Linked DNA regions of Lepisosteus oculatus. The protein of the gene in region 2 interacts with the protein of the main gene of each other region in a pairwise test. Links are inferred from orthologs where the notes say so. Each region holds a gene or a part of one and is shown on either strand. Other genes may lie near its edges. The genes, in order: slc25a46, fhl3a and znf512b.

What was found.
Region 1: the proteins of fhl3a (region 2) and slc25a46 interact in binary tests that used the Homo sapiens proteins (3 or more experiments, as listed by UniProt). The two-hybrid records come from large-scale screens. The link is inferred for Lepisosteus oculatus from reciprocal best matches to the Homo sapiens genes FHL3 and SLC25A46.
Region 3: the proteins of fhl3a (region 2) and znf512b interact in binary tests that used the Homo sapiens proteins (3 or more experiments, as listed by UniProt). The two-hybrid records come from large-scale screens. The link is inferred for Lepisosteus oculatus from reciprocal best matches to the Homo sapiens genes FHL3 and ZNF512B.

The regions. Positions count from the first base shown.
Region 1 is NC_090698.1:29,843,379-29,847,132, forward strand, and holds the start of slc25a46 (mitochondrial outer membrane protein SLC25A46), read left to right. Parts: upstream 1-991; 5' UTR 992-1,157; coding exon 1,158-1,416; intron 1,417-3,754. Other genes in the region: tmem232 (transmembrane protein 232), read right to left, coding at 194-330. UniProt on the Homo sapiens protein: Transmembrane protein of the mitochondrial outer membrane that controls mitochondrial organization.
Region 2 is NC_090706.1:12,362,358-12,366,111, reverse strand, and holds the start of fhl3a (four and a half LIM domains protein 3), read right to left. Parts: upstream 3,013-3,754; 5' UTR 2,925-3,012; coding exon 2,834-2,924; intron 1-2,833. UniProt on the Homo sapiens protein: Recruited by SOX15 to FOXK1 promoters where it acts as a transcriptional coactivator of FOXK1.
Region 3 is NC_090711.1:6,043,277-6,047,030, forward strand, and holds the start of znf512b (zinc finger protein 512B), read right to left. Parts: upstream 2,859-3,754; 5' UTR 2,548-2,858; intron 2,501-2,547; exon of another isoform or gene 2,340-2,500; intron 2,195-2,339; exon of another isoform or gene 2,043-2,194; intron 1,916-2,042; 5' UTR 1,735-1,915; exon of another isoform or gene 1,710-1,734; intron 358-1,709; 5' UTR 334-357; coding exon 210-333; intron 1-209. UniProt on the Homo sapiens protein: Involved in transcriptional regulation by repressing gene expression. Associates with the nucleosome remodeling and histone deacetylase (NuRD) complex, which promotes transcriptional repression by histone deacetylation and nucleosome remodeling.

The DNA.
Region 1 (3,754 bases), on a different chromosome or scaffold from region 2:
TACAGTATCTACATATTTGCAAGTTTTATATGACAAAATTTAGGTTACATTTTTAAAGCAGTCTCTGTCACAGGAAAAGGTTCCTAGTGTGGATGGTAACTGTTGGTGGTTAAAAGAACTGTGGACAAGAAGGATGTGACTTTGTAGACAAAACAGAATAATAAGAACATTTTTAATCTAAATGCTTCCTTACCTGCTAGGGCTAATCTTAGCATTTTGAGATGCTTCCAGTTCTTGAGCCTTTTTAAGCAATCTTCTTTGTAGATCTTCTTGATGGGTTTGGGATATAATCCCAAAGTTGTGAACTACTGGAATTTTGATGATGGGCATCTTCTTTTGCTAGTAGGTTAGATGTTTTATTTCTAAAAGAAGAAACATTGTGTTTACACAAATCATTAAAGTACTAATTAATCTGAGTTTTCAGGAGGTAATGTTTCTGTATAATATTCTTCTAGACAGCTATGTGCTGCGTACCCTACCCATCTTTTTAGATAAACCAAAAACCTTATTTTGAATGAATTTCAGTTTTTGGTTTGCCTTCTCAAGGAAAACGTTTTTATTTTTTAAATACATCCGAAATTACACTCTTACCTATTTTGATTTCTGACCAAAGCTTTCTAATAAAAAAACATTGAGTGCTATAGGGGGAAAAAATCATTTTAATTGTGAAAATGAAGCGTCTTTAGAATTTGTTTCACAAGATCCGATACTTCGAGCAGAAATCGTTTGTTTTGGTGTTGCCATGACTGCAGAGAAAATATTCAATCCAAAACACAAGTCATTACAACGCGGTAGTTTCTTTATCTTTAATCGTCAGAACATTTCATATAAATAGTTTCCAACTTACATAGTGGTGGAAGTTATTTCTTACCCGAAAGGCTGTCGATTAAAATAAATCATTTTCAGGTATGATGTTAGTACTACGATTCCCAGAGCCCTTTGCTTTAGAGGGAGGGGGAAGGAAGTACTTCCGGTTTTAGGGAAGGTTCGACAGTGCTGTTTCCTTGTTTCTTGTTTTGCTGGAAGAGCTTGCACGCTTTTTGCTGTATGTGTAATTTTGTCAACACATTTACAATAGTTTGAGATTAGTGAATAAATCCTTCCACTCTAGAGCTACTGTTCTGCTTTACCCCTGACAATCTTCGTTTGTGTACTCCATGACTTCACGCCGGCCCGAGAGCTTTGATGGCTTAGGTTATAGAGGTAGGGAGGATCCTGTTCATGGAGGGGGATACACGGGAAGGTCATTTAATAACTCATCTAGCGCAGATATGCAGCACTGGGTAACGACACCACCCGATATTCCTGGGAGCCGAAACCTGCACTGGGGAGAACGAACCCCACAATATGAATCAGCTGCATCCACAGTCCCCGGTTCCGAAGAGACTCAGCAGATTTCTACTGGACCATCTGGTGGTAAGGAGACAACAGTGCAGTGTAACAGTCAAGTGCATCTGATCATTATGACCGTTTAGAAGCAGTTTAACGTCCGCAGCAATATTTAATCCTTTCATTTAAAACTGTTCTTTTAAATACATGCATTTTTTCCGTAACCTTACCAACGATTTCAAAATACTTTAAAGGAATAATTTAAGGAAAAATGTATAATTGCTGACTTTATTAAGGCAGCTTTGGGTAGGCCCATTTCTGCCAAGGGAGCAAAAGACAACGTTGAACTAATTGGCTTAAAGAATAAATAGATTTTAAATAAGAGGCAAGACACTGCATGGTTCAAGTTAACGTAATTGGAGGTTTTCAGCATTTGGTGAATAACGAAAGCGTCAGGGGTTTGTCGTAGCATAGGAGCGGGAATAAACTAGCGAACCCTTAGGGATAATTAAGGGGCGTTTCTTTTATGGACGGGGTAAAAATCGAAGCAGGTCGGAAACGCAGTTTAAACAATATATTTGATTTTGTTAAGAGCTGGGAATTTAAAGGTATTCGTACGGATCACTGTAGGTCTGTCTTCGAACGTGGTATTGACCCAGTCTGTCTGTAGAACAGTAATGCTGATCAAGACACGCAACTAATGGTTCCGAAAATGCAAACACATTGGAATGGATTGAGTAAGTCTTTAAATGTACGTTTCGGGATTAAAACTGTTTTATCACTAAACAAAGAGTTCTAGAAGTGCCAAATGAGAAGATAATTGCACATACAATACAACTAAGGAGGACAGTATGCAGTTGATACTGTATAACAAATTTAAACAACAACAATAATAAATTAATTCTCAATAAATCCACCGATACTGCCATCCACTGCGATTTCCAGGACCAGCAGTACCTAGATCTGCCCGGGTCACTCGGCTCCAAAGTTGTTTAGGGAGAAAAGTGAATTAAAAATAAATGCTGAGTGAGAAAATCGATATTGTTGAGAAATCTCAGAAATCCATTTTAAGGATGCTGAGTCAGAAAAGCCTATCCCATCGCTTTATGCACATTTGTGCATATCTTTACACTTTTTATTCTCGATTTTAACCGCTTTTAAGAATGATGAATTGTCATTGAAATAATGTTGCAGTGATGAAAAACAGTAAATCAGTTGCATTAGTTATACAATATAATTATGTGTGGCTGATTATTTTTCTGTTTTTGATACTAAGTGTAGCACTGCAGCTTTGCATATCAAGGGCATTGGGCCTGAATTCACATGTTTGTCTGTCTGCCCAGTGATGGACTGGCGTTCAGTAAAGGGTGTACCCTGCCTTGCACCTGTTGTTTGGCAGGATAGGCTTCAGCTCTCTGAGGACCCTGAGTTGGAAGAAGTGGTTAAAAATGAATGAATAGATGGATACATTAAAAGGGGACTCCTATATCAATGCCTAATACATCACCAACAGTATTTTGGGCATTTGTGTAGGTCACTAGGAGCACAAGTCAGCCCTAGAAAGCACAGGTGATAACTTATGCCTCTAAGTATGGTTACAAATGAGAGGTTACAAAACTGGTGAAAATCAGGATTTGACCGAGCAGTTACGTCAATAAGTGAAATAATTAGTCATAACCCCCAACTTGTAAGTGATTTCTAGCAATATACCCGAGTGGCTGGTATAATTAGAAGCACAGCTTTGGTGAGAGGAGTAATAATCCAGGCACACATGATTAAACAAAAAAGAATTACAATGACAAAACACAAACTATACAGTATTCTCTATATACAGTATACACACACCTGAAGAAGGCTCCATGACTGAAACGTGTTTTGTTTCTTTTTTTTCAGCATGGAATAAACTTGTTCCATTGCAGCCTATGCATGCTGACGCAGCTACCCACCTGAACTACTATGTACAGTATTTACAAACAAGGTGTTTCAGAGGCCTAACATTCTGGTCACCTAGAAAACCCTAGACTGCTGCTAAGCATTAAACTCTTAATGCCTACAGAGGCCACATAAGAGATTAGCTGCCTTCTAATGAAATACAATGCAACCTGCAGTTAAACCTCTCTCTGCACCCCGGATGCCACAAAATAAATGGGAGCCTATATCCCTATCCATTAAAATGAACCCTAAGCACAAAAGACATTTCTAACTGAGGTATGTTTCACTCAGGAAACACAAGTTCCCTAAAAACACACACCAGCGATCTCTCTCTAACAAGGTGCACATATTTACCTCCAGTCAGGTTTAATTTGGATGAACATGAAGTAGGGCTCTCGCCTGGTGCAAGCTTCAAGTCCCATCTCCTCCGGAAATCTGTCTCTCCTCTTCTTCTTCCCTGCTTCCTCTTCTTGAGCTCTTATTGTGATCTTAT
Region 2 (3,754 bases):
TTCCAAGCCACCTGCTGAGCTCTTAAACAGCGTGCCAATTGGAAAGAATCTCTTATGTCCAGAACTCTGGCTGCCATCCAGTCATTGTACGATACTATTCTTCACCAAGCTACAGAGCATTCATATATGTGATTGTGGTCAGGACTTGATGGAATCATGCGAGCTATTGTAGTGGGCTGAAAAAAAAAACTAAAAATACTTCTATTTTGGGTTTCAAATGTATGCATTCCATTATCAAATAGGTACTCAAAAATTGCTTTCCTATAGTACAGCACAAGAAAATCTGACACACCACGATGAAATTCACATGAATGCAGAAACACAGAGTCACTTGCACCCATCTTAACAGAGAAGCATTTCATTAAGGGACTGTAGCCATAATTATTGAGAAGTGTACAATATAGCCACTGGACTTATGTTCTTCTAGCTTTGCGGACAAGTACAATGGATGAATCAGATCAACAACTGAAGGTTAATACATACTTTTACACATCTGGTGAAACTCAAATTGTTACGTGATCACCATCAGCATTAACTCTGTACCAAATGAGACTAAACTTCCAGTGCTTGCACATTAGACATCAGACTCAAACTTTCCATTTTCTGCAACAGAAATCAGCAGGCAGGCAATGCTACACCCTGAAGTCATTCTGAAATTGTCGTGCTCCATATGTACAGTTGGTGAGATCTAAATGGGTTTCATGTTCGTTACACTAAACGTTATCTGTATGTGACAGTCCTCTGCTCTTTACTTGGTCTAAGATGCACAATACCGTTTCTTTCTTTCTACCTGTTTCCTTGTTTAAAAAAGGAAGATGTTTGTGATTACTTAGGTCACAGAGGTTAAAGTGTAGCTGCTGTTATGCTGTGCAGGATGTACCACTTCCAAAGAAAAAAAGGCTATTCTTCAGGGTTTAAAAGAGGAAAGCGCAAATTCCATCCTCACCAGTTGGAGAATGGCTTAATCATGACAGATATAACCTCTTTTTCCTGCACTGGCCCCTCAGTCAGTTCAAACTCTGTCTGCTTTTCAGCCCTGGAGTCTAATTAGCATTAAAGGAAAAAATAAAACAAAATTCAGCCAAGAAAAAGCAATATTTCTTTCTACACATCACAGAAGACCAACAACATTCAGACACATTTTACGTTTGTAAGAAGTGCAATTGAAACTAAATTACTCTCCCTTTTGACATGCTTTAAAGTAAAATCTCTCGGTTTAATATAAACTGCAGGTATTGAGATTTTATTCACTGTTGGAGATTATTTTATAAAATAACATTTTTATGGACTTCTTAGTGCTATCAAATAATGTCTCTAAATTTTCATCCATTCTTAATCTCATCAAACATAAACTCGAAACACATCTTGCAATAAGGCTTTAATTAATAACTATTCTTTATTTCATCATTAGCTTTTACAAGAGATCAGTGAAGTTTAAAAAAACAAATAAATCAACGCACCAAGCTGTAGCAAAACTACAGTGTCCATCTCTAGGCTCTCAAATAATAGTACTTATTAATATTTAGCTATTTATATCCCAAAGGTGGGACTCAGTGCGCCCAGTACGGGTCGGTTGCGCCCTTACACAACAGATCAGGTAGCGGAGAGGAGAAAAAAAGTGCTTAACCCATTGAATTAATTAGGGATTTTATGCACAAATCCAGAGGGTATTTAGTCGGCATATCTGGGACAGTACACCTCCTATAATGAACAGCGCCTTCTCCGAATTTTTAATTCAAACTTATTACTAAAACAAAGCAATCCTTAGTAAACACTTCATTCGTGACAGTGTACAATAGCAAAAAGCATTTTACACGAAATGCGTCCACGAAGGTCCCGCTTGGCACGTAAAACAGAAGAGCAAAACCGTATCAGCGACTTTATCACCGTGACAGCGCAACAGCCGCACAGCGCCACCCTGCGGAACGCAGAAGCGAGTCAAGCAGACCTGCTGTGCGGAGCCTGGGTCTGTAGCTCTTGGGTCATTTCATTCCGTTGTCCACGCAAGGTCCCCTTGACGGAAGAGGCCCTGCCTGCCCTCCATCCACCTTTCATCGTTTTATATTGGAGTCTTAAACTATTGTTTTAAAAATAAATACAGGCCGTGCGAATAGATAGATGCTAACAGGACAAGAAGTGAAGTATTTTCTTTCCTGGCACAGAAAAACAATTATATACTATTATGTACTACTATATTAAACACTATTCTTCCACCACCGAGAGTTGTTAACTGCTAAAACCAGCTCACAGCGCCTAACACCTTTGTAATTATAATCATCATCATCATCCGTATGAAAATGAATGGTTTGATATGTGAGCCGATAGCGTTGCGCCCCAGTCTAATGAATGGACCATTAAATTGGTTTTCCTCCTCATTCAACAGCAAGTCGTGCTTCTACAAAAAGGAGCACTGCAGATGCTATGACATTTTTGTAATGATGTATTTTATGTCGGCAGTTCGACACAATCAAACAACTCCAAGATCAACACTCAGCCCGCAATGCTCATGCCAAAATGATTCGAGTCAAAAAACCGTTTCAAGTTTTTAGTGTTGTCGTTCTTCATAATTCTGGCGTTTGTCATCGACTGTTTTTCATTCTGTCTTTTCCAGTCGAAGTGTTCTAAAGGTACTAACATTTTTTCTTCCCGAAAAAAAGTTGACGTTTCTACCTCTGGCCAATGCGCAAAGAGCTCCGTTTCGGATTACGATTACTTGCAATCAGGAAAATGGTAACCCAGTAGCAGTAAAAGCGAACAAAAAAAAAACATGTATAGTTTTTAATTAAAAAATTCGTAGACAAATGACCTGTTAAACTGACTCGTTGACACTTACCCGGCACAACGTCAGAAGCCTCTGTCGTGCGCACTTGGTAGAGTGGAAAAGTTGCCTTCTTCCTTTCTATGGCTACTGCGTCTACAGACATGAAAACGGGAACTCGCAACTCCGTCCAGCTGCAAGCTCTGCTCGGTCTGCTCTTGCTGACGATCAGAGAGAATGTGGCTCGTACGCTCCAGAGGAAGTCTGACTCTTAAGAGCCCGCCCCTGTTCCCAAACCTTTGACATGCAGCCAACGTAACACGAGCGTTATACAGACGAGCTGCAATTGTACCCCGAGGCGAGAGACGTTAAAGGGGAAAACATCTTCGTAAGGCTTGAGGCAGGTATCTTGCCTGGGACAAGCGAACGACTCCTTCGGGATGGCATGGTCTTCATTGCTCACCGTCTGTTATCTCAAGTGATGTTGGTATAAAGACTCCAATGGTGAATTGTTATGTATTTATTCGGAGACACTGGGCAAACGACTTAACAAGCTTTATCTTAAAGCGTTCATCTTAAATTTAGCGCTGTGGCAAGTTATTCGTTTTCATTTCTGGCACTCTGGAAACACTAAGCTTGTTTTAAAACTTTCAACGTGTGTGTAGATTTTGAAACAGAAACGTTTTGAAAAGTATTGCAAGATCACCAAAATAATATTTGTCTATATTTACTTTTGAAGTATTTTAATCGCTTTATTATGGCAGTATAAATGTTATGAAAATAGGCATGCAATGCATTTCATACAAACTATTTGAAAGTGAATTTATACAGTGACCAAAATCAGATTAAAGACATCACTTTTAGATTTTATTTAGCCCCCTTTTAAAGTCAAGCTGTTTTTGTCTGCCTGGGGCAGAGTTAACGATTCTGGCATCCTTGTTATTTTCACTGTGTAACAATTATAGTAGCAGTGAATTAAATCAAACAATCGTAAAC
Region 3 (3,754 bases), on a different chromosome or scaffold from region 2:
TTTATTTTTGGGGCATTGCAGTTACGACTTTATACATTTGGACTGTATATCCCTTGTCTGTGTGCAATGAAAAGTCTATCAGACATCATTATGTACTGTAGCTGGTTCCTGGTTCCTGTTTAAAAGTCTATCCATTTGACTGGAATACCAATAGTGCAGCACAAAGCTTCCAGTAGCAACAAAAGAGAACAGGATCAATGACCACTCACCAAGTTTAGTGTCTTCTCTGCCCACCTTCTTTGCTGTCGCTGTCAGGCCTGCCGGTTTGCTGAGCCTTCTCTGGATTCCACCAGAGGGCACATGGCCTAGCCGTCCCCTGCTGGAGTCTGCCATGCCTCGAATACAGGCAGACTGCAGCTGGAACACCAAATCAAAGATTACCTGTCAATCACACGTCTACCCCAGTAACCCGTCCACAAAACACCTGTCAGGAAGCTGCCACCTTTAATACAGCTTCTACATGAAACCCAGTCAATTATTCATGTTGAAATAATTTTTTGCCTATGTTCAGCTGTCCAGAAACACTGTATTAATACGTAACAGAGGAACATTTCGATATAGGCAATAATCCTCAGACACCCCATGTCTATTTAAAAATAGCTGCTGGTTCTATGATGTGAAAAAAATGTATAATAAAGATAGCTAGTAGAGTATATTATTCAAATAAAAAGGTATGGTTGTCACTCAGAACATTGTTTTACCGGCTTTAACTATTAAAGAGATATGAATAATTAATCTCCAGAGACAAGTGATAGCTGCTGATGCAAACTTAAGTTTTATGGTCAAAAAGTACGAACTAGAGATTAAAGATACAACTACTGAGTCAGATTAGCATACAAAATGAACAAGCAACCCCCAGAATCTCTAACACACATAAAGGTCCAGCCTTTGACCTTTTAATACAGTAATGCATGAGGTCTCCCTGTCATAAGGACGGCAGCAGACAGAAGATACAGTGAAGTAGTGTCTTTGCGTTACACAAGGGACCTCTACATCAGTGAATCGGTGTGCAATTATCCCAGAGGCATTTGCAGTTACCATATCCTGTCTGTACTTCCTGATACTGAAGCAGCCCTGCCTTCAGTCCGACACTCTGGTCCAGACACTAGTGCCAAATGTTAACTGGGAAAAAATGTTTCTCTTTCTATGCAGACCGAGACAGAAGATAAGGGGAATCTTCTGAAACAATGAAAATGAAACTATACAACTATCTGTTTATATATTGATGACCTAAGAGCATAATAAATACAGGATTACAAGATCCCTGTAAAGGCCTACATGAGATTAAGATATTTGGGGGCTGTGAACCTCTTAGCACTCTCTGGGACTACTCATAAAATTTAGGAAGAAACATAATCTTTCCAGTGTTCAATACTCAAGTTTATGTAACAACAATCCTATATACTCTAAGAAAACAAAGACAACCACAAAAACAATTAAGTTGTGTGAAAACTAAGGGATCTGGGATTTTAATGAAAACTCCTATTCTATTTAAGAAATATAGATGTTAGAAATCAATGACAAAAACGTAAACTTTCCACCTCTTGAGGAATACAGTTTCAGTTCCCCCACCTCTCTTTAGCACCGAACCTGCTGTGGTTGAACTACTGTACGTTCATTCTTGTTCTTAGCACGACTGAAACCGGACTGTGGGGATTCATATTTAAAGCAACCACCCCCCCCAAAAAAAACCACAACAGCACACTCACTTCGCATCAGGTAGGCCACACCTACCTGGTGTGTTGGGAGTCACCCGACACCAACACTAGTGGCCGGGTGGACCGGGTCACCCACGTGGGGTCAGGCGGTGCACTTTGCTGTCGCCCCGGTTGTTACATGGCAATCACACCTGCTGTCCCGGGAGGTGATCCCAGCAGACTGCCGTCACGGCCAGTAGCCACTCTCGCAACACCCGCTGTGGTTCCCAGGGAGGAAAGAAAAATGCAAATTAAAACACAACCTGAACGTTTTTTTTCCCCCCTCAATCCAGCCACTTTCCGCTTTGGTTCATTAATATGCAAAACACGGGGTACTTCGTTTACCTCAGGCGTCTGTGGAAAAAGAACGGTACGGAAAATTCTGGCGAAATGGCTCAGTCCCATAAAGGAAATAAAAAATACAAGAAGCTTTTATAGGCACTGAAGCAAAATGGCGACTTTATAATACGAAGGAGGAGTAAAAAAAAATCCTTGCGCTGCAAAGAGAGAGAAAAATATGTTTAGTGCAGTAATTTTCGGCAGCTACATGGCAGTTCGCTAGAGTAAAAGAAAATAAAACGAAGGAAAATATAAAAAAAGGTGCAAACGCGCTAGTTTTAGCTGCGGTCTGCTGCTCCTTACCTCTGATTATTTTATTTTTGTAATACAGATATAATCTCCGGGGCCGTGTACAGTATTACAGTAATGTGTTGGGTCATGCGCGTATCCACTCTACCTTTGACAGTTGTAACTACAGTCGAGAAGGCAACTTGCAAACTCTCGCGTTATTATTTTTTATCATGCAAATTAAATTCAGTTTTCAGTAAAATAAAATCAATGCAAAACTGACCGGCTGGTGCGTTTCCACCGACGTGCTGCAGTTCAGTCTTCAGCAGAGAAGGGTTAGGCAGTCTGTATGTATGCAGCCTGGTTGTCTGTCGCCGAATATCGTTAATAAACGTTTTGATTTTGAGTTTTTTTTCTCTCTCTCTCCAATCTAATGCTTATTTTTGAACGCATTACACATAGTATTGTATTGAGCCGCCACACCCTCTTACGTCTACTTTTGTTCTAATCTAACTTTAAATACGGGAACTGGATCTTTTATAAAATAGACAACCATTTTAATTCGACTTTATCTAATGATCCTGCGCTCCGAGTCAAAGTAGTGGCACACAGATTATATGCGAGACAAACCCTTTTTAATTTCCTTAAAATGATCATTTTAAAGGGTGTTAAGTGGATTTTTTTTCTCTCTCCAGGCCAAATTTAGCACAGGGGGGGGCAAATTGTTTCCTAAAACGGAACGACACAGCCCCACCCAAAAAAAGGGAAAAAGATGATCCTTCAGATCTGAACACCTGCGTTTATGTCAGGACTTTCAGTAGATGCAGGAAAAGACTACAGTTCTAGCTGCAGTAGGAATACATGTTTAACAGAAGTCAAACAAAATTCTGTTTTAAAAATAGTTTTTGAGCAGGGTACAACATGTTAATCAGCAGGAAAAATCCATCTATCTTTTAACACATGAGAGAAACTGAACGTAACTTAACTTCCAAACATATATTTACAGCAATGGGAGTATTTTCAGGAAAATGTACTGTTCCGCCATACAGAGGTATACCTTAATTAATTAAACCTTTTATACATTCAAAAAGAAACATAAGCAACATGTCTGAAATCTTTTGTCATTATTAAATGTTTTATCTAGTCTTTTCCCAAGTAATATACTTCAGTTTGAAAATACTAAAATATCAAAGTCCAGTAATATAACCGGATAACCCCTCTCTCCGACTGCATAACGAATTTCGGGAACATCAGAAAGCTATTAATAGATGCAAAACATTCCTAATTTTAGGCTTCTATTGTATGATAGATATGAATTAGTTATTAGCTTTGGGCATTCTTATTTCTGTATCTTATTTCGAGGTTTTCTTTCCCCAGAGATTTGTTCCCCAGTGAGTTTTGTTTAAGTTTTCATAAGCTTTGCTGTATAATTAATTCTATTGCTTAAAGTGTACGATTTGTATAAAATCTTAAGTATGGAAAAATGCAGA